Linked DNA regions of Oryctolagus cuniculus. The protein of the gene in region 1 interacts with the protein of each later gene in a pairwise test. Links are inferred from orthologs where the notes say so. Each region holds a gene or a part of one and is shown on either strand. Other genes may lie near its edges.

Region 1 (3,883 bases):
ACTGGTTCAGACTCCAAATGGCTGGGACTGGACCAAGCCAAAGCCAGGAGGCACAGCTTTATCCAGGTTTCCCATGTGTGTATGGAGTTCTGAGTACTCGGGTGTTCTTCCACTGCATTCCCAGACACATTAACAGGGGGCTGGGATCACATGCAGGACAGCCGGGACTTGAACCAGCACTCGTCATGCCACCATCCCAGGCTGCAGCTTAGCCTACTAAGCTACAATGTGGGCTACCCTTCCCTCCAAAAATAAATCATTTTTTAAACACTCTTCTCTAGTAGCTTTATTCTTACAATGTCAGAGTAAATTTCAGACTAAAATCTCAAAATTCTACAATCAAAATCAATCTGCCTAGAAGAATGCTGAAGTGATGAACAGTGAAGCTCATCACTAATTGCCATGATTCTTCAAATATTCTTAATTAGATCATTTAACAACCGTACATCAGAGGATAATGAACGTTTAACAGAAAACTGAGGTGTAGAACAGGAAAGACTGATGAAAATATACACATGAGACAGAATCAATGTTTCCTTTGCAGAAATTCATGTTATCTTTCAAGGTCTGAAGTGTACATCTCAGGGCCAGTGCTGTGGAGCAGTGGGGTAAGCCTCCGCCTGAAACAGCAACATCCCATATGAGCACTGGTGTGAATTCCAGCTGCTCCACTTCAAGCTGGCTCCCTGTCAATGCACCTGGGAAAGAGTTTGTGCCCCTGTGGCCTACATGGGAGACCCGGATGAAGCTCCTGACTTTCGCCTGGCACAGCCCTGGCTGCTGTGGCCATTTGGGTAATAAACCAGGGATTGGAGATCAATCAATCAGTCTCTCTGTGTCACTCCCTAAAACTCTGCCTTTCAAATAAAAAAATTTTCTTAAACTGCACATCTCCTTTAACCAGAAATTCATTTTAATCCTTTACTAGTCACATAACTGAACAAAGTTATATATGTGTAAGAATGTCTTTTAAAGCATTATTTGTAATAGTGAAAGGGAAGGAAGGAGGAGGAAGGAAAAATCAAAGGGGAGGAAGTGGGAGGGAACCAAGGAAGAAAAGAGGCAGCGGACAAAGAGAGAGAGGAAAACCCCACAGTCTTGGAGCAAAAACAACAAAATAGCTCCCATAGTGAAGAAGCAAAAAAATAGAAAGTCCTACATCCACAATAAAGTATAAAATATACTCAATAAATGTCTGCTGACTGATTCTCTACTTTATGTAGAAAAAATTCATGATATCAGCTCTGATGACCAAAGAGCTTGCCATAAAACCCTCCAGACATGAGGTTATGAGGTTTCTTTTTTTTTTTTTTGGACAGGCAGAGTGGACAGTGAGAGAGAGAGAGACAGAGAGAAAGGTCTTCCTTTGCCGTTGGTTCACCCTCGCAGCCGGTTTGCTGTGACCAGCGCGCTGCACTGATCCAAAGGCAGGAGCCAGGTGCTTCTCCTGGTCTCTCATGGGGTGCAGAGGCCAAGCACCTGGGCCATCCTCCACTGCACTCCCTGGCCACAGCAGAGAGCTGGCCTGGAAGAGGGGCAACTGGGACAGAATCCGGCGCCCCGACCGGGACTAGAACCCGGTGTGCCGGCGCCGCAAGACGGAGGATAATTAGCCTAGTGAGCTGCGGCGCCGGCCCAAGACATGAGGTTTCAACAACAACAACAACAACAAAAAAAAACTGGGTCACTCTAATTTACAAATGGTATGTGGAGAGGCTTGCGCTCTGATTCAGATTTTATCAACTTCTTGAATGACTGACAGCCACGTTCAGGAATGCAAGGACAAATATGACCACTTGGAAATCTGTATTATTATTGTTCTTTCGAAGAGTGAAAACTACAAACTTCCTTCTAATAAAAAATGTTAAGCAATTCCATAACCAATCACAGACTAACCACAGACATGGCACTCTAAGAAATGAGTAACCTCTATTACCTTTCCCGTGCTCTGTAAAATCGTTGTTCGTGTCCTCCACACTCTCTCCCTGCTGACAATATCTCGAGTCACATCTACCTCGGCGTCTACAAAACTCCTCTGTTTGAGGGCAGTGATGTCATCATCTAGATCAGTTTTGATAGTAGATCTTTTCTTAGCCATAATTTTGGCTTTGATTGCAGCAATTTTTTCCACTGACATGGCTTCAGATAAAGACCTAAAATCAAATTCCTTTTTAAATTTTCAAAGCAAGAATTCCTTGAGCACATCACAAATACATTGTTACAATTTTCTAGTAAAAACACTTTAAGTAACAACAATTAAAGCCTTCTTTCTATAAAAATGACATATTTTGTACTCTTACAAGATTTTAACACATAAAGAAGGTTCATGCAGATATACTACTGTGAGTAAATTAATAAATTCCAGAAGAAACAATGCAACAAATGTCTTTATATTTATCATTTCCCTCCAAAAGAGCAGTAACTCATTAACATGAGTGTTTTCTTTGTATTTTTTGAGACTTTGTTAGTTAACCCACATCTATTCACAGAAAATAAACATACATATCGAGGCCAGTTGTTAAGAGGGTCCCAGAAGAGGAGTATGAAATTCATTATATAAAGACTTCAAAATTATAGGTTTTCTTGAAATTTATTTCAAGGTTTCAAAACCGTATGTCACAGGGTACAACATATACATAGGTGACAAAGGCTTTTATATACCACAGAAACACATACCCCTTTTAAACTCTGGAAGAAACCATAGTTTGAACACTTTATCTTCCCTGCATCTGATTTTCAAATAGCCAAAACAGCAAAGAGAGACAGGCTATATTTTCAGAACTATGTATAAAAAGCGACTTAATACTTAAAGTACAGATTTTGTAAGATGAATCTTAAGCAAAGTGTCTTTTTATATAATAAGATAAAAAGAATTAAAAAGTGTTTGAGTACCTTATTAAGAGTAGACAAAAATATTACTTTAGCCACAAGATGAAAATCTTGAAATATGTTTACACAAAATCTGGAAAAAGGACAGAAATTCCTGCAGGTTTAAATACAGCAGTATTATAAAGTAAACTAATTTTATTCAGATTAGGTATGAAGATACTTTATAGCAGATGATCAATATGGGTATGGTGGTATCTGACTCATTTTGTGTGACACTGTGCAACATTCCCCTAAAATCTAAAGCACCTAGAGTCAAGTTCAAATGCTCTTCTAAACTATAATCAAGCCTGCACTGGACTTGGTATCACTGGACTTTATTTCCAGCCACACTAAAACAGAGTGACAGGATTAACCTTCCTGTCTTAAATTACCAGTGAAAATGACAAGACACCAGGTTTAAAGGATATTAGATTATCAAACAGTGTAGAACAGTGATTTCCTGACAAATGAGAAACCAACAAGGTGAGCCCTTGGTGGCTTCCGAGATAGGGCATTAAGAAGAGAGCCCACAAAGACCTCAGAGAACTCCCGATTTGAGGGAATGCAGCTGGGGCGACAGCAAGACCAAGGTGGCGAGAATTCACAGGACAAAACACATGAGAAGAGAGCTACACAGATTCCTTGGAGTATTCCAGTAGAATACCAATTAGTACATGAAGATAACGAAATCATTTAAAGCTGGGTAAAGAATCAATCATCCAATGGAATTAAAGAGAACAATGCCCAGTGCTTACACAGAGTGAAGAACAGTACCTGTTCCCACCATCCAGATTAAAAGCCTCATATTCTCAGGGCATTAGAAAGCATATTATTCCCCACTTAAGCAGTAGGGAATAATTATGCTAAGTGACCATTGTTCAGATCTTACAACCAAAACCCAAAAACCTGTTTCCAAGGGATTTAACTGGGGCCCAGAACAAATCTAAATAAGATTTGGAAAAATACAAAAATGTCTACCACTCAACAGAATAAACTGCACAATGTCTGGTATCCG
Region 2 (4,626 bases), on another chromosome or scaffold:
CCCGCCCCCTCTCAGCAGAGCGCCTGGGCTCTCGGCCTGGAGCAAGCTGCCAAGGCTCAGCCCCGTGGGAGACCTGGGTGGAGTTCCCGGCTCCCAGACTTGGCTGACCCAGCAGCTGTCGCTACGGTGGGCACGTGAGGGGTGCGCGAGCGGACGGGAGCTCACGCGCTATCAAAGGTAAAGAAAAACAAAAAAACCAAGCAAACCCCACGTGTTCAGGTATCTCCAGCCGGTTCCCGGAAGCGCCGAGCTGGCGGCACGTGACAAGCCGACGCGCCGTGAGCTCTGGGCAGGGAGGCACAGGCGCCGGCGGCTGAGGGAGCCTGCACGGAGAGCCAGCGCTCTCTCGGCAGAGGGGACGCGGCGCCACGCCGGCCCCAGGGGACAGGAAGTGCACAGGAACAGCCCCAGCTGCTGCCTCCCACGCAGCGCCAGGAGGCGGTCACCTGGTCCCTCTGCCAGCCAAGGGCCGTGAACACGGCAACAGGTGGGCGTCCCCGTCCATCCTCCACTCTCCCGTCTCCTTTCCAAAACATGTTTTCAATGCAAGCATCAGCACCCCCCGCCCTCCGGCCTTTCGCCGGCCGAGCTCGGAGAGGGCCAGGGCAGGCACCCAGCCTTGCTGGCCTCCTGGGTCTCCGTGAGTGAACGGACAGCGGCACCGGGAGGTTCCAGCAGAGGAAGGCCGGCGAGGGAGCCCCCAGCCGGGAGCTACAGCCCCAGCCGTGCTTCTCCAAGCCCCGGTCCAGAGAGCCTGCGGCGGCGGCGCCAAAACTGCCCCGCCGAGCCAGGGACACAGGCGGGCGGCCACGAGGCTGACGTGGGGCCCCGTGGGGCAGACCCGCGGGAACCCCCAGCGGGCAGCACCCCCGCTCTGCGCTCACCTCGCCGAGTGACATCCCACGGCAGGCGGGACCACGCCGCCACCCCTGCCCGCCCTCGCCGCCTCCTCCTCCCGCCGCCCCGGGCACCCGCAGGTGTCGGTTGGCGCGGGGCGGGAACTCGGCCGCGGGCTCGGGGGTCGGGCAGAGCCGAGCCCGCCCGGCCTCCCCGCTCGCTGGGACCCCGGGGTCCCGCTTCCCCCCACTGAAAACGGCCTCGCGCACTCCGTGGTGTCAGTCGCCACACGACCACGTGGACAACAGCTTCCCAGGCCCTGTGCGCGCCGGGTGGGCGGCCCCGACCCGACTGGCCTCGCCCCGCCCCCGCCCCGGCCCGGCCCGGCCCCAGCCCCCAGCCCCCGGCCCGGCCCCGGCCCCCAGCCCCCAGCCCCCAGCTCCCGTCCCCGGCCCCGGCCCCCAGCCCCGGCCGGCCCCGACCGGGCCCGCCCCCTGGCCCCGGCCCCGTCCCCGGTCCCCGGCCCCGGCCCCCAGCCCCGACCGGCCCCCAGCTCCCGTCCCCGGCCCCCAGCCCCGGCCGGCCCCGACCGGCCCCGGCCCCGACCGGCCCCCGGCCCCAACCAGCCCCGCCCCGCCCCCTGGCCCCGGTCCCGACCCCCCGGCCCGGCCGCCATGTGGCTCGGGCCGCGCGGCCGCCCACCTGCCTCCCTCTGCGTCTTCACGCTGAGGTACTGGCGCAGCTTCTTCACCGCGCGCTCCCGGACGCCCTTCTCGTGGGACGCCAGCCGCTGAGCAAACTGCATCTCGGCCGGCTGCATGGCGGGGGCCATCGCGCCCACTGGGGCAGCCCCGGCCGCCGCGCGTGCGCAGAGCCGCCGGCGCGCGCCGATGACGTCACAAAGGCGGCGCCGGGCGGCGCGTTCTGGGCCGTCGCGCCGCGTGCCTGGCAGCGGGCGGGGCCGCGGGCCCGAGCGACGCGCGCCGGCGCCGTCGGGGCTGCTGACGGCGAGGTTAGCCGGGGAGGGTCTCGCCGGGCGCCGCGCGCTGGGCTGCGGCCGGGATCGGGACGCGCGGGCGGTCACTGCGGCGTGCTGGGCTCCGGCCGGGACCCCGCGCCTGGCGCTGCAGGTGCAGCGGTCCCCCGCGTGCTGGCCGCGGGTAATGCGCAGTGCACCTGCCGGCCCAGGCTGCCTTCGCGCCGGCGTGGTAATGGGTTTTGGGGGCAGGCCCTCCCATCCTCCTCCTCCCACGTCCGTTCTGGGACCTTGCTGGGTGGAGAAACTCCTAAAATTCCTCCCAGAACTTAAAATTTTTTAAAATACTTATTTATTTATTTGAAAGTCAGAGTTACACACACACACACACACACACACACACACACACACAGGTCTTCCATCCGCTGGTTCACTCCCCAGTTGGCCGCAATGGCCCGAGCTGCACCGATCCGAAGCCAGGAGCTTCCTCCAGGTCTCCCACGCGGGTGCAGGGGCCCAAGGACTTGGGCATCTTCTACTGCTTTCCCAGGCCATAGCAGAGAGCTGGATGGGAAGGGGAGCAGCGGGGACGACCCTGTGGCGCACTGGGTAAAGCTGCTGCCTGCAGTCCTGGAATCCCATACTGGCACCGGTTTGAGTCCCGGCTGCTCCACTTCCGATCCACTCTCTGCTATGACCTGGGAAAGCAGTGGACGATGCCCAAGTCCTTGGGCCCCTGCACCCACGTGGGAGACCCGGAAGAAGCTCCTGGCTCCTGATTGGCACAGCTCCAGCTGCTGTGGCCAATTTGGGAGTGAACCAGCGGATGGGAGATTCTCTTTCTCTCTCTTTCTCTCCTCTCTGTAACTCTTTCAAATAAATAAATAAATCTTTTAAAAAAAGACAAAAAAAAAAAAAAAAAAAAAGGAAGTGGAGCAGCCAAGACTGGAACCGGCGCCCACATGGGACGCCAGCCCTGCAGGCGGCGGCTTTTCCTGCTACGCCACAGCGCCAGCCCCGTCCCAGGACTTCTGAACGGAGCCTTCTTCTAAGCTGCCTCTGGAGAGGGTTGGCCAACCAGTTCCTGAACCATAACAAGTAACAAGACTGATACGTAAATGCTGGTTTGCTTCCAAGGCTTGCTTCCTCCTGGCCTCACACAGAAATTCCGAGTTTTCTTCAAGATTTTCCCGTTTTCTTTGGCTCTCGTACACACATTGCTAATGCCTACCCAGCTGCATAAAATGGTTCCCTAAGAGGAGTAACCCATAATCTTGGGGGTGGGGAGAACACGCCAAAGGCCCCCATGAACCTGGGAGCATCAATCTCTGGTAACACGTGCAGGGGCCTCGAAGGGCCAGCCCACAGTGCAGGTGCAGGGCTGCGGGGTCCCTGCGCAGGTGCAGGACTGTGGAGGAGGGAGAAGTCCCTGCGGGGTCCCTGCGCAGGTGCAGGGCTGTGGAGGAGGGAGAAGTCCCTGCGGGGTCCCTGCGCAGGTGCAGGACTGTGGAGGGAGGAGCAGGCCCTGCGGGGTCCCTGCGCAGGTGCAGGACTGTGGAGGAGGGAGAAGTCCCTGCGGGGTCCCTGCGCAGGTGCAGGGCTGTGGAGGGAGGAGCAGGCCCTGCGGGGTCCCTGCGCAGGTGCAGGGCTGTGGAGGGAGGAGCAGGCCCTGCGGGGTCCCTGCGCAGGTGCAGGGCTGTGGAGGGAGGAGCAGGCCCTGCGGGGTCCCTGCGCAGGTGCAGGGCTGTGGAGGGAGGAGCAGGCCCTGCGGGGTCCCTGCGCAGGTGCAGGACTGTGGAGGAGGGAGAAGTCCCTGCGGGGTCCCTGTGCAGGTGCAGGGCTGTGGAGGGAGGAGCAGGCCCTGGGGGGTCCCTGCGCAGGTGCAGGGCTGTGGAGGGAGGGAGGAGCAGGCCCTGCGGGGTCCCTGCGCAGGTGCAGGGCTGTGGAGGGAGGAGCAGGCCCTGCGGGGTCCCTGCGCAGGTGCAGGGCTGTGGAGGGAGGAGCAGGCCCTGCGGGGTCCCTGCGCAGGTGCAGGGCTGTGGAGGGAGGAGCAGGCCCTGTGGAGGGCCCTGTGCAGGTGCAGGGCTGTAGAGGAGAGAGGAGCAGGCCCTGGGGGGTCCCTGCGCAGGTGCAGGGCTGTAGAGGAGAGAGGAGCAGGCCCTGCGGGGTCCCTGTGCAGGTGCAGGGCTGTGGAGGGAGGAGCAGGCCCTGGGGGGGTCCCTGCGCAGGTGCAGGGCTGTGGAGGGAGGGAGGAGCAGGCCCTGCGGGGTCCCTGCGCAGGTGCAGGGCTGTGGAGGGAGGAGCAGGCCCTGCGGGGTCCCTGCGCAGGTGCAGGGCTGTGGAGGGAGGAGCAGGCCCTGCGGGGTCCCTGCGCAGGTGCAGGGCTGTGGAGGGAGGAGCAGGCCCTGCGGGGTCCCTGCGCAGGTGCAGGGCTGTGGAGGGAGGGAGGAGCAGGCCCTGTGAGGTCCCTGCGCAGGTGCAGGGCTGTGGAGGGAGGAGCAGGCCCTGCGGGGTCCCTGCGCAGGTGCAGGGCTGTGGAGGGAGGGAGGAGCAGGCCCTGCGGGGTCCCTGTGCAGGAGCAGGACTGTGGAGGAGGGAGGAGCAGGCCCTGCGGGGTCCCTGCGCAGGTGCAGGGCTGTGGAGGGAGGAGCAGGCCCTGCGGGGTCCCTGTGCAGGTGCAGGGCTGTGGAGGGAGGAGCAGGCCCTGCGGGGTCCCTGCGCAGGTGCAGGGCTGTGGAGGGAGGAGCAGGCCCTGCGGGGTCCCTGTGCAGGTGCAGGGCTGTGGAGGGAGGAGCAGGCCCTGGGGGGTCCCT

The links.
Region 2: the proteins of CDC73 (region 1) and HSF2BP interact in binary tests that used the Homo sapiens proteins (3 or more experiments, as listed by UniProt). The link is inferred for Oryctolagus cuniculus from reciprocal best matches to the Homo sapiens genes CDC73 and HSF2BP.

Annotation. Positions count from the first base shown.
Region 1 is NC_091444.1:9,863,319-9,867,201, reverse strand, and holds part of CDC73 (parafibromin), read right to left. Parts: intron 2,154-3,883; coding exon 1,937-2,153; intron 1-1,936.
Region 2 is NC_091435.1:2,458,263-2,462,888, forward strand, and holds the start of HSF2BP (heat shock factor 2-binding protein), read left to right. Parts: upstream 1-1,754; 5' UTR 1,755-1,849; intron 1,850-4,626. Other genes in the region: RRP1B (ribosomal RNA processing protein 1 homolog B), read right to left, coding at 1,540-1,669. UniProt on the Homo sapiens protein: Meiotic recombination factor component of recombination bridges involved in meiotic double-strand break repair.